Linked DNA regions of Tribolium castaneum. The protein of the gene in region 2 binds, or shares a complex with, the protein of the main gene of each other region. Links are inferred from orthologs where the notes say so. Each region holds a gene or a part of one and is shown on either strand. Other genes may lie near its edges.

The links.
Region 1: the proteins of ksr (region 2) and Dsor1 are in contact, whole or in part, in a cryo-EM structure (PDB 8BW9), measured with the Drosophila melanogaster proteins. The link is inferred for Tribolium castaneum from reciprocal best matches to the Drosophila melanogaster genes ksr and Dsor1. Residues at the interface, in NP_001287177.1 of Drosophila melanogaster: Gln767, Tyr828, Asp830, Met831, Gly832, Leu833, Gly834, Val835, His837, Arg849, Ala850, Leu851, Gln852, Asp888, Gln889, Pro890, Ala891, Glu892, Ser893, Ile895, Trp896, Gln897, Gly899, Arg900; in NP_511098.1 of Drosophila melanogaster: Gly98, Gly99, Lys123, Asp236, Met238, Ala239, Asn240, Ser241, Phe242, Val243, Gly244, Thr245, Ser247, Met249, Arg253, Leu254, Gln255, Gly256, Ala310, Met311, Ala312, Ile313, Phe314, Leu317, Asp318, Val321.
Region 3: the proteins of ksr (region 2) and cnk are in contact, whole or in part, in a cryo-EM structure (PDB 8BW9), measured with the Drosophila melanogaster proteins. The link is inferred for Tribolium castaneum from reciprocal best matches to the Drosophila melanogaster genes ksr and cnk. Residues at the interface, in NP_001287177.1 of Drosophila melanogaster: Arg900, Gly901, Met902, Lys903, Gln904, Ser905, Leu906, Ala907, Gln910, Ser911, Gly912, Arg913, Lys916, Asp917, Met920, Tyr925, Lys945; in NP_001286524.1 of Drosophila melanogaster: Lys79, Asn80, Asn82, Gln84, Leu88, Glu183, Asn187, Ile190, Gln191, Ile193, Ser194, Asp195, Pro196, Val198, Leu199, Gln200, Pro201, His288, Thr289, Met291.

What each region holds. Positions count from the first base shown.
Region 1 is NC_087403.1:8,130,365-8,134,501, reverse strand, and holds the start of Dsor1 (dual specificity mitogen-activated protein kinase kinase dSOR1), read right to left. Parts: upstream 2,909-4,137; 5' UTR 2,547-2,908; coding exon 2,446-2,546; intron 2,401-2,445; coding exon 1,770-2,400; intron 1-1,769. UniProt on the Drosophila melanogaster protein: Required downstream of Raf in the sevenless (sev), torso (tor), and Drosophila EGF receptor homolog (DER) signal transduction pathways.
Region 2 is NC_087399.1:8,293,495-8,297,682, forward strand, and holds the start of ksr (kinase suppressor of Ras 2), read left to right. Parts: upstream 1-1,245; 5' UTR 1,246-1,390; coding exon 1,391-1,543; intron 1,544-1,589; coding exon 1,590-1,863; intron 1,864-1,917; coding exon 1,918-2,193; intron 2,194-4,188.
Region 3 is NC_087398.1:13,503,702-13,507,356, forward strand, and holds part of cnk (uncharacterized protein cnk), read right to left. Parts: intron 3,289-3,655; coding exon 2,695-3,288; intron 1-2,694.

The DNA.
Region 1 (4,137 bases), on a different chromosome or scaffold from region 2:
AATCATTAAATAAATAAAAATTTATGTACAGAAAACATCATAAAATAGGTTCAAAAAGGTCTTATTTATCAACAAGTATTGTTGATGTAATGTAATGTAATGTTTAGCATTATTACGTATCTTTTGTTATTAATTATTTAGCATGTATTTTACTTACCTAGTTTACATTAGTTTTGTTACCTTACTGGCAGTGATATTACATGAAATAATTATAACAAAAAATTTATTTAAAAACAATGTTCTTACGTTAAAAAATTGTTTAACTTATTTAAAAAATGTTTTTTTTTTTCGTTGAACGTCAGATATCATCATTTTGTAAATGATAATTTGCAAGATGAATCTGCTGAAAAATTTTTTTCCTATATTTCAAGAACTAATAATAATCAGCGTTTGCTTTAATTCCTTATTTTTTCTCTAAGCGTGCAAAGTTCTTCAGATTCCATATCATTCACAATAAAATGTTGTTAAGCTCCAAAATAACGTGAATTTTCTACGTATTTTTGCACAAAACAATATTTAAGCACCGTTTGCATTAAGGTATAAAAACTATTTTTTTCAACGGCTTAATATTAAGTCTTGTAAAAAAATTTATAGATAGAAATAACCATTAACTATTTAATAGCAAACTCAGAATTCTCTGTGATCATTAGTTTTTGAGATGAAGTAAAAACAATACTTTTGGCAGACTAATTTAGTTCTAAATTTGACAAAATTAATTTTTTAACGAAAGTTGACGTTACTTAAAAAAAATTCAATTTATTCTAACATATTCTTTAAAGTGAGTTATTTTGATATTTTGACGTATTTCATTTAGCTGTTTATGATTACTATTTAAAACCTGTAAAAAAGCAAGCTTATTTTACTCAATTTAGCCTAATAATAACAATATTTACTAATTAACATTAAAAGTACAATTCGTCGCATTCTGAATAACTTAAAACACTACTATTTCACCAAACAATGCGTAATTTGCCGGCAGATATCATTCAGACATTTCGCAATTATTTATTTATTTTTTTGATTTGGTGAATTGGCATCCAAACAAGAAATTTAGATTATTACATATTGTATTATTTTCTTAAATGATCCATTAATTTTATGAGACAAAATGCATTAATTATATTATATAACATTTGGAGAAAAAATTGCATATATTGCACGGCTCAGCCTTAACCAGCCTTAACCTTAGCCCATAAAGTTTTACTTATAATCTCAATAATATAATATTCTGTTTAGTATATATATAACAAGTGAGTAAGAAACGTATTCTTTCTAAAAAAAGTGCATTACTCCTAAGTAATACAAATTCTTACAGTCTGGAAATTAAGTAAAGCTAGTTATTCTCCGAATATAAAAGTTTATCTGATCCGACATAAATTACGATAATTAATTATTCATTTAATTGGGTGACAAAATATAACATTCGATATGTTTTACGTTAATTTGAGATAAAACAATTATGTAATTTTATTTTTTAGTGCAAAACTATGTCGATTTTCAAAAACTTTAACACATCTTTTCATCTTTAATAACTAAGGACCCGTTTATAGAAGCGTCATTAAGATAATCTGCAATTAAATGCGTGATTAACTGATCACGTGACCAAATTAAACCAATTTCATTGGTGTATTTGCGTTGTTAACGTTCAACAACGAATTAAAATTTAATAAAGCTTTCATAAGAGTTTTATAAGATTTTGGTGGTAGATTGACAAGTATTTATTCTGGTGACAGCTTTTTTCTTGTTTGTAACACTTTGTGATATCTTACCGACATGTAGCTTCTCGTTCCGACGAAAGAGTTCGCCATCGAGTCTATAAGTTGTCCCGAGACCCCAAAATCACAAATCTTGATCTCGCCGCTACTATTAATGAGTATATTACTGGGCTTAACATCGCGGTGCATAATCGCGTGTTTATCCCTCAAGTAGCTCAGCCCCTTCAAAACCGCAACGGTAATCTTCCCGAGTATATTTTCGGGAATCCGTCCGGCTTTTTTAAGAATTAAGTCTAAAGACCCAGCGTCCATATACTCCATACAGATGCTGATCTCCCCATCGCTGTAAAACGCGCCGTAGAAGCCCACAATGTGCGCGAAATTGCACTCGTGCAAGACTTTCAATTCGCGAATTATCTGGAGTTTGATCGCCTGTTTCACCTCCAAGTGGATTAATTTCCGGGCCATGATGAGCCCGGATTTATGGCGGACTTTAATAACGACGCCGCCGTTCCCCGACCCCAACTCGCCCAGTTTTTCCAAATCGTCGTCGCTCAAATCACCCCCGATTTTCTCCTTCTGGCACAGGAACACCTCAATGCGCCTCCTCTGCGTGGCGTCCATCTCCAAGCCCTCGATCCGGGCCGTTAGGTTGTCGATGCTGGAGCCCCCGACGTTGTTCGACCTGAAACTGCCCTCCAGTTTCGAAACGCACGGAAAAGACACTTACGGGGCTGCGGCGTCCGGAAACGGCGCACTTGTGGGGGTCACCGTGGGGGTTTGGTCCAGCGAACCCGGGGGGAGGGTCAGGTTTAGCTTGTTCTTCGACATCTCTCCCAAATATTACACTTGTATCACTGATTAATTAACGGAAGGGACGTTGACACCCATAGATAAAAAGCCTCAAAATATCAACATTATCTACCAACTTTTTAGAATTATTTTTGGTTTAGCGAAGAGACTGCAACCGCGAACATTGTAACCAGTGGTTGTGTTTTGACTGTTTTTATGTTACACTTATTGTTTTTACGTAAATAAAGAAAAAAACACAAGTAAAGAAAACATCTGACATCAGTCAATTATGTAGTTCGCTGGAGTGACACGGGTGGCGCTCGCACCGTTCTTATAATTCAATGTTATTATTGTTATTGCTACAAATTTTTATTTATAAACTTAGCAAAATAGTTGCAATAAATAAAATAATAATAAAACAGTTTTTGTTGTTACGTAACTTGTATAGCGCCACCTGTGTTTGCGATACCACACTGCGCATTCCTAGTTGCAACACCCTTTAGTGCCTAATATATCGTTGGTGCTTTTGGTACAAGGTGGCACTAGAACGCCGGCTGAAATTATATATTCAAAATGTGATAGAACAGATTTTATGAGAGGATAAATAATTGATAAGTAATTATTCGGTACCAAAGAAGGGAATTTTATGTGATATAGTATTATAAATTGAATAATAAATGTATGCAGCGTCATCAAAACCGCAACATTAAAAATTCATACCATAGATACACGAATTGAGCCAAATGTCCGCCCTGTTCGATTGTATTAATTAATTTTGGGATAATGGAGGAGTGAGAAAAATTCGGTTCAATTCAAGTGTGTGTTTTATTTAGTTTAGATACAGTCAGTCATGCATAATTACAATTTTTCGTACCAGCTTTACAAAATATTTAATCCTGTACATGTGTGGTAACTACAGTACAACCTCTTTTATAAGAACCTGATGCCACCATAATCACCTGTCTCTTGCTATGGATCATTTTTCAAAAAAATCTTAGACAGGAAGATTTTATTTTCTTGGATGTCGTTTCTATTGGAAATAATAAAGCAGTGATTGATAATTTGACACAAAAGGCTTTATTTTTTGTTCTTGTGTGTTTTTTTGCTTATATTTTTATGTTTAAGTTTCAAAATTAAAAAATTATAATAATTATTAAAAAAAATAGAAGGTGTCTACTAAAAGTAGTGGTTCAAAACACAAAAACCAGCGTTTGCAATTAAATATTTTATTTTTATTCTCTATGCATATGACCTTTTAAAAATTTTTTTACCCTTTCTTATTATTTGAGGCATTTTACTTGAAGCAGACAACCAAAAAAAAATTTACAACCTAAGATTCGGTCATATTCGGAATAATTGGTTTTCTAGAAAGAATGATTGTTAATCTAAATACATAATGATTTTTTATATGAGACTTATTTTTGACTTATATTCTTATAACTAATGCACAACAAGATATTTAAAGTTGGGCTTTTGTTTAGAAAATTTACTGTTCTTTTTAATGCTGAAATTATTTTTGGAATTTGAATTTTTTGTACAAAACTAGAAGTGAAGTTTCAAATCCAAATTTTAGTAACTTGGACAACTTTTTCTACTATTTTTATTTTAAAAAATAGCTTATAATATAAAG
Region 2 (4,188 bases):
AAAAAAATATCAAAATTTTGCTTGTAACCTTTGACAATAGTCCAATTTTTAAGTCCCTTAAGGCTAAATTTAAACAACTATTTTTCGAAATTTATTCGCGGTTATAAGGTTTACGGACGTTTGTAAAAGCGGCCCTAACACGTACTTTAACAGTTTGATGTCAAAGTTCTTGATAAGTTTTGAAATTTTTTAAAAGTAATCTCGATTGCATCGTAGTTATTAGTAAATTACTCAAACACAAGAGAATTACAAGTGTGCTAAAATTATTTTAAATAAAAACCCACATATCTGATATACATAACTATCACTGGAAGTTAACTGATTAAAACTACCATGTAATCATTTAAATTTATAATAATAGTAGGCTTTAATATTGATTAACTTGTATGATACTTGTAGAATACGTTTTTTCGCTTAGTTTCTAAATTAAGCAATCACAAAAAGGACAAACCTTGTTTTTTTAACAGGCATAGGCGTTATAACATTGTGTAAAACAACATAAAAGATTAAGACATAGAGGGACATGGCGAATTTGAAAACCTTGAACCATAGCAAGTCCTAAACTCCCTGCTTTCACAAAATACTAGCTTCGCAACTACAATAAATTTATTTATTATTATGATATACCTATTAATTACTGCACATTATATTTAACTCGTCTTCATGGGATTTTCAATTACATCCCAAGAACCGTTATCATCTCCAAGGACGGTCTTCATCTCCTAAGTTTGTGTGATCCTTCTTGGTGTAATATGATTATATTAATATCTAGAAATCGCAATTAATTGTTGTATAGACACCTTTCAATAACGTTTACCTTAATTTGCCTTAAGTTGATTCATCCTTCATTAAAACACTGTCATTCACACTATACACTAGATTCAAATAAAAGATCCATATAAAAGTAGAGATGTTTGATCACAAAAACATCCAAAAAATCACGTTAAATCGTTTTCTGAAGTCTTTAAAACACATTAAAACAAAATGTCGCCAAAAACCACAACGACAGCAAAATAATCGGCTGTTGATAAATCAAAGAATTAAAGAGAGAAGTGTGCGCACGTCGATTATTTTTAAGTGAACCTTCTTTACTTTTAGCAAAATGTGTGACAGATTCCTTTAAATTTACAGATTTCTTTGCAACTGACGCGACCTCTAAGCTGGAGCACACGAACTATTTTAGCCATTTCCCCCCTTTGCCCCACCCCTCCTAGTGAACACATAATTTGTATACACTTTCAGGGGCCTGTTTAAAGATGGCCGATGACAAGAATCGGTATTGAATGAAAAATCAGCGCTAATACAGCTGTAAAACTGTAAAAATAGTGATATGTAAATATTTATGTTATTGAAACTAAATGTAAATATTAGTCTGTAACTGTACTGTGATATGGCCGATGCGGAAGCGGCGGACAGAGAAATAAGGAATCAGCTCGATATAATTCAATCCATGATTGATGTTTCTGCTCAACGTTTAGAAGGGCTCCGTACACAATGTGCAACAACCGCAGAACTGACCCAGCAAGAAATCCGGACCCTGGAGGTAGGCCCCCCTAGCTCGCAACCCCATCGAACCCTTCATGTTTCAGGGCAAACTCATCAAACTCTTCTCTGACCAATTAATCAAGAAGTTGGCGCTTCGGAGCGGGGGCGCCGACCAGATCCCCTCGTTGATCCAATGGCTGCAAGTTGTGGGGCTCAGCGGCAACTCCATCCAAGGGCTGTGCCAGAAGATCTCCACCGTGGAGGAGCTCCAGGAGAAGTCCGAGCATGAGCTCAGGACCATCCTCAACGACCGTGGGGCGCGCCCCGAGGAGCTCAGTCGGCTGTGTCGCGCCCTCCACAACCTCAAACGCTACACAGGTGCTTCTTACATTTTTGTTTGGGTGGGAATTCCATTCATTTAATTTGTTGTAGATGCACTCAAACGGGGCGCCAAAGACAACTCGGACATGCACCTGTATTGGGACTCCTGGGACCGGCATCAGAACTTCAAAGTCGGGGGGCTGTCGCCGCGCACGAGCAGGACACGGGCCGCCAGGGCTTCGGTCCCGTCAGAGGAGAGTCTTTGCAACAATAATAATCGTGGAGGTGCGATCCCTCCTTCCTCCTCTGTGTCTAGCATCAATTCTCTGAATGCTGATCGGTGTGTGCTTGGGCCTCCCCTTACTCCCCCACCTCTAAAGGGGAAAGGTACGCATGACTCCGCATGGGACCCCCACTGTTTTTGGACCGTTGGTTTGACAGTTTCAATGTTTTTTAAACTAAATGTACCCGGTGGTAAAATAATTGCCACCCTACATATGTTTTTAATGCAACAAAATCAGTGTTTTCGGTTATTTGCTGACAATTTTTTTTATTTGAAACAAACTATTTTCTTGATGTTTTTTCGAACTCTAAACTATGCAGGTGTTTTAAAGATTTTCTCAATTAATGTCGTCTTTGGTAGTGATAAAGAAAACTACTAATTAAAAAATATGAGAAATAGGGTTTTTGTTTTGGTGAGAAAAATGTGTAAAAATATTTAAAGGTGTTTTTTTCCGAACACTACTCATCGAAATGTTGATTTTTATTTTTTTCTGTAATACTGGTCTGCAAAAAATTTCTTATTATTATGCATTACATTTTGATTACAGGTTGTTGAAAGTGTTAGACGTCGTTTAAATAAAAGATTCAATTAAAATTGTAGAGGTGACACATGATTCAGAACAAAAACACTAAAACTCCAGATGATGTTGGACAAAAAAAAGGCTTTTATGAAACAAATTTATGTTGTTACACGAATATCTGGGATTTGATTGTTCACAAAATTTATAAATAAAAAAAACGACTTTATGATCTAAATTATTTTGGCCTAATAGCGTCATACTTCTTGAAACGTTCAATGATTTTTTTTACCCATAAACGACTTAATTTTTTATGCTCGAAAATTTAGAATACAATGTATGTATGTGCGTACACGCAGGGTGGCTTTTAAAAACTATAAAAATAAGCAAAAATAATTTAACTTGAATTATTAGAATGTTTAGGAGTAAGTACTACATAGGTAAATTAGCGATAAGAATAACACCTAATTTTTTGAGATATAAGTATTTTAGAGAGTTTTGGTAATTAAAAAAGACATTAAAATCAACAGCAAATTTTAGAAAAATTTTGCCGGCAGCTGGAATGAGCGTCGTCGTTGCCGGCAGCGGAGGTGAATAGACATTTAATAACAAAAATTATGTTTACATAAACTTTTTTGTAATTGATTTTTTATGAAAATCGTTGGTTTTACTTAAAACTATAACTGTGAATTTAATGACTGCGATAATAATTTACAACAAATGTTATAATTCGTTCTAAAACACTAAAAATCATTAAAAAATGTATGTAGTTGCACGTTAACAATATTTTTTTGCTTCATATTTTCTGTTGAACTTTCAACCAACAAAATTGCTATAATTGACGATCTTTGGATTATTTCCTTTTGTATCGTCTCTCATTATGTGTAATATGTCTTGATGCCATCTTTCTTCACATTTATTGATACTACGGTAAGATTTTCGCTAAAGAAATCTAAGTGGGAATGATTTCCTGGTAGTTCACAGCTTTTTTATCTTTCTAGGAACTGAAATAGTTTTATAAGTACGTACAGTCACCATCAAAAATCTTGATATAAAGTAGGTCTGATCTTGTAAGATTATACAATCACCATAAACCTGATTATCCGTAGTTAGGACCATCTATTGTGCAGGTATTAAGACCCACGCACCCTTGCAATAAATTACTTTTCGAATACTGGCAAACTTTTCGAAGACGGCAAATAATTTTCCTAGTTCCTAATGTTTTTAAAATTCACAATCAGCATAAGTATCTGTTTACAAAGAAAAATAATGACTGTAAACACCGATTGCAAGTATCAGGTAACTAAATAAAATCATTGTTTATATAAAACACATTTATTTTGTGCGGACTCGAATTATTCCGTTCTGGACCCTATGACAAGGGTGGCAGTTCAAAATGTGCCTGAACAATTTACGACTGGGGTTTGTTTTTAATAGGATATCGGCTACATTTTAAACAATAGACCAATTTTATGATCACTGTATAATCTTAGGGAATCAGGGCGACTTCCGGCGAAATTTGCAAAATTATACATTAAAAAAATGTATACATTATAGCAAAAAACTGAAAGCAGATACAGAT
Region 3 (3,655 bases), on a different chromosome or scaffold from region 2:
TTTACTTATTAAATATTTTCCATTTAAAACCCTCTACACTTAAAACAATTTGTGGTGTCCGATTATAACAAACTCAGAAACGAGTATATCAATATCAGTGCGTTATATCTGAGATTCTCTGTAAGTGGTTGATTAAAAAAAAAGTGTATTTTTAGCAGTTCTTTTTAGTTTACATAACGAAATAAATAAGTATTTTAAAAAAACATAAACCCTCTGTAAAATAGTAATAAGTACATAGTGTGTGAATTTGATAGTTATGCAAGTATTGTAAAAAAAGTGATAACCTTATAACAGAGCCCAAAAGAAGTGAAAATAATTCAATTTGCATTATACAAATATTTACAGTGTCTGAAAAGGACCACAAACAAATAATTAAAATAAATATGATCTCTCAGTTTATACAGAGTTCTTTAAAATTTATTACATTGACTTAAAATTAGAAAAAACATCTACAGAAAAGTCCTCTCATAAAAAAATTATAAAAATGTAAATTTTTTTGCGAAGATACCACCACCCAATATCATTCCCTCAAATGTCATCGCCTGTTAGAAATGTAAGCTTTGAAATAAAATACTCAAAAAAAACAAACCCTGTTAATATTAATACTTTATTTTAAGAATCTTTCAACGCTAATGTAGAAGTTGCACCTTCTACATTTTTAAAAAATCGCTAAAAACATTCGTTGATTTATTTTGACTTCATTTGAGCTCTACTAATATAAAATATTTGCACAAATATAAAATTCATACTGTAATTATGTTTAAAAATACAATATGTTCTCATTGGTTAAAATATTTTCAGTTAGTAATTTAATAATCTGTTCATCAGTTCAATTATTGCTTTATTATCAACTCCAATATATTCTTCAAAATTCGGTCACAAGTTCATTATAAATGGAAAACTGCATCACATTTTAAGTCAAATCTTAATTCGTTATATCTGAAGGTTCGTTATAAGCCGGTTCTCAATAAACGGTTAAAAACTATATTGAGCTTATGTAAAAAAAATTACAAAAAAAAGAACTTTCAAAAATGGTTAAATACCAAAAGAAAATTTTATAAATACCAAAAACATAATAAAAAATACTAAAACTAAAGCAGCGTTGAAAATTATAAAAAAATATTATAAATAATATAAATACAAACAAATCGAAATTAGTATTAAAAGGGTTAGAAATTGCTAAAGAAAGTGATCAAAATTCAGTAAACAAAATGCAAAAATATAAATGGTAACAGGTATACAATTTCTTCTCAAGGGGTGAACAAATCCATGTACAGCCGCCCAAAAAGTCCATAAACGAACGCCTACTGAGCAAAGTCGATACCTTGACCAAAACCAACCCCTGAGAAATCATTAAAGATCGTAAACTACTTTTGAATTTTCAAACTACATTTGAATTTTTTAAATGTTTAAGGATTTCTTGTTGGAAATAGGTATTGGTTTGGATAAATATGAAGTAAAACAATTTACAAGTTCATCGCGACACAATCTTTTGACGCTTTGACAAAAGGTAAAACTATATGGGAAACAATGGTAAATAATAATTAAGTCACGATTGAGTTCGCAAATTTTCAAGCAAAAAAGTGGCTTAATCTTATACAATTTTTTATTTACAAAAAATTAGTGGGTAACTCAAATTAAAAAGATTATTTTTATTTTTTGGGAACTTGCTTTTTGAATTTCAAGAACATATAAAAATTAGACAGATACAAAATACAGTAACAATTTAACAAGTACTTAAATAATTTATTATTTGGAAATTTATCAATTTGAAAAAAAATTTTGGTTTTAAGTCATCTCTTGTGGTATTAGGTGTTGTTAAATATTTCCAGTGAACCATTGCACAAGGTAATGGTCAAAATTTTAATCAGAGTATTTCCATAAATCAATTACTCTAACGTTCTCTAACTTATTCTGGTTACCAATTTTTTGAAACATTTCATAAACAAAAATGTTAATAAAACCTATTGTGTGATTAATAACTGAAACGATTAAAAATATAAACGTCTTAATTTGAAATGCAATTCATTGGATTAACTACATTTTTGTTTTATCTTGTCTTATGCATAATAAATTTTGTATCGAAAAAAAATAAATTACGTGTAAAAACTATCAAATTTTTGATTATAATTTGTAGCAATGAGATTTTAGGAATAATAATAATTGATTGATTTTTTTGTTAATCAAATGCTTTTATACCCTAAATGAGTTTCACAAAGTCTCAATTGAGTTTTTGTGATATACAGCGTGGTCCTAATACAACCTGCCAAAAAAGTCATTAAAAAGATCCAGCAAGTACGGAAAACATTTTTTTGTTAGGTCAAAAATATGGAAATAAATCAACCCCTATCCATATACATTAGGCACTACTGATCACAGTCATAGTCGGAAATTAATTGTTAGTGTTTATAAGAATGACATTATTTAAGTAACCATGTTTACCTTTTAATCCCCATTACATACAGCAAAATTTGATCTAATTATCAATAATTTTTATTTCAAAAACGAAAAGACTTTCAACAGAAAAAAAATGTGCATGAGTCTTGTTTAAATTTATCTTAGTTTGGAATTATAATAATTTGTATTTGCAATTGTTTCTTAAGTGGGATTACGTTTTGATATTGTTTTTTGACATGTTCAACGTCACATGGTTTTATCACAAATATCACAAGTGCAATTCTATTCTATACTTACTTGCAGTGATTGTGTTCTTCTTTTTCCCTGCCTTATTCTTATTGGAATAAATCATGGCACGCACTATCGAATTCGTCGGCGAAATTTTACTCTCACTCATATTTTTCGGCACCTCAAAACTTGGCACAGATTCGCCAAAGTCCGATTTTTTCGGAGTCGATGCCGTCTTCGGCTCAAAAAACTTATTTTGTAATTTATTGCTCTCTTTAAGCAAAGCTGGTGATTCAGGTGGCTTTGAAACCGTAGTTACTTCAGTCGAATAAGTGTGTTTGGTGTCAAGATATTCGAAAACGGTCGATTTCGCCGCTAAATCCCCTTTCAATTTTTCCGAAATGTTGGGTTTAGGTGAATCGATGGGATAAGCCGGTTTGTTAAAATCGACAACGCCGAAGGTTCGTGGCGGAGGTTTTGGTGGCAAATCCTCGTCGATTCCTTGCTTAATTTCAGTTTTTTCAGTGAGAGTGATTTTGATTTCTTCGACGACTGGCACCGTTTGGGTCAGTGGCAAGCTTATGGCGTCCACGATAGGGATTCCGAGTTCGTATTTCATTTCGGAGAACGGCTCGCTTTCGGAAACCGTACTAGTTACGTGTTCTACAATATGCGAAAATTACAATCATATTAACATAGTTTTTACTGTTTGAATAATAAAAACTACTGTGCTAACCAAAAATATATGCCAAAAACAGTTACTTTTAAAACTCCTTGTATACATTTTTTATAAATTAAAGATGATTAAAGAACGCATATCTACCAATATGTTATAACTTATTCTGTTAGATACAAGTTTAGAAAGTTATCAAACCAGGTCTCAATTACTTTATTTCAGCCAGAACATTTGAAAGTCAGAAACTTACTAACTTTTAAACTTTTCGTCGAGACGAGTCAAAAAAAATCTTAAAAAAATAATATAAACAATAATTATAAACGTCGAAAACAACATAAGCGAAACGAATATAAA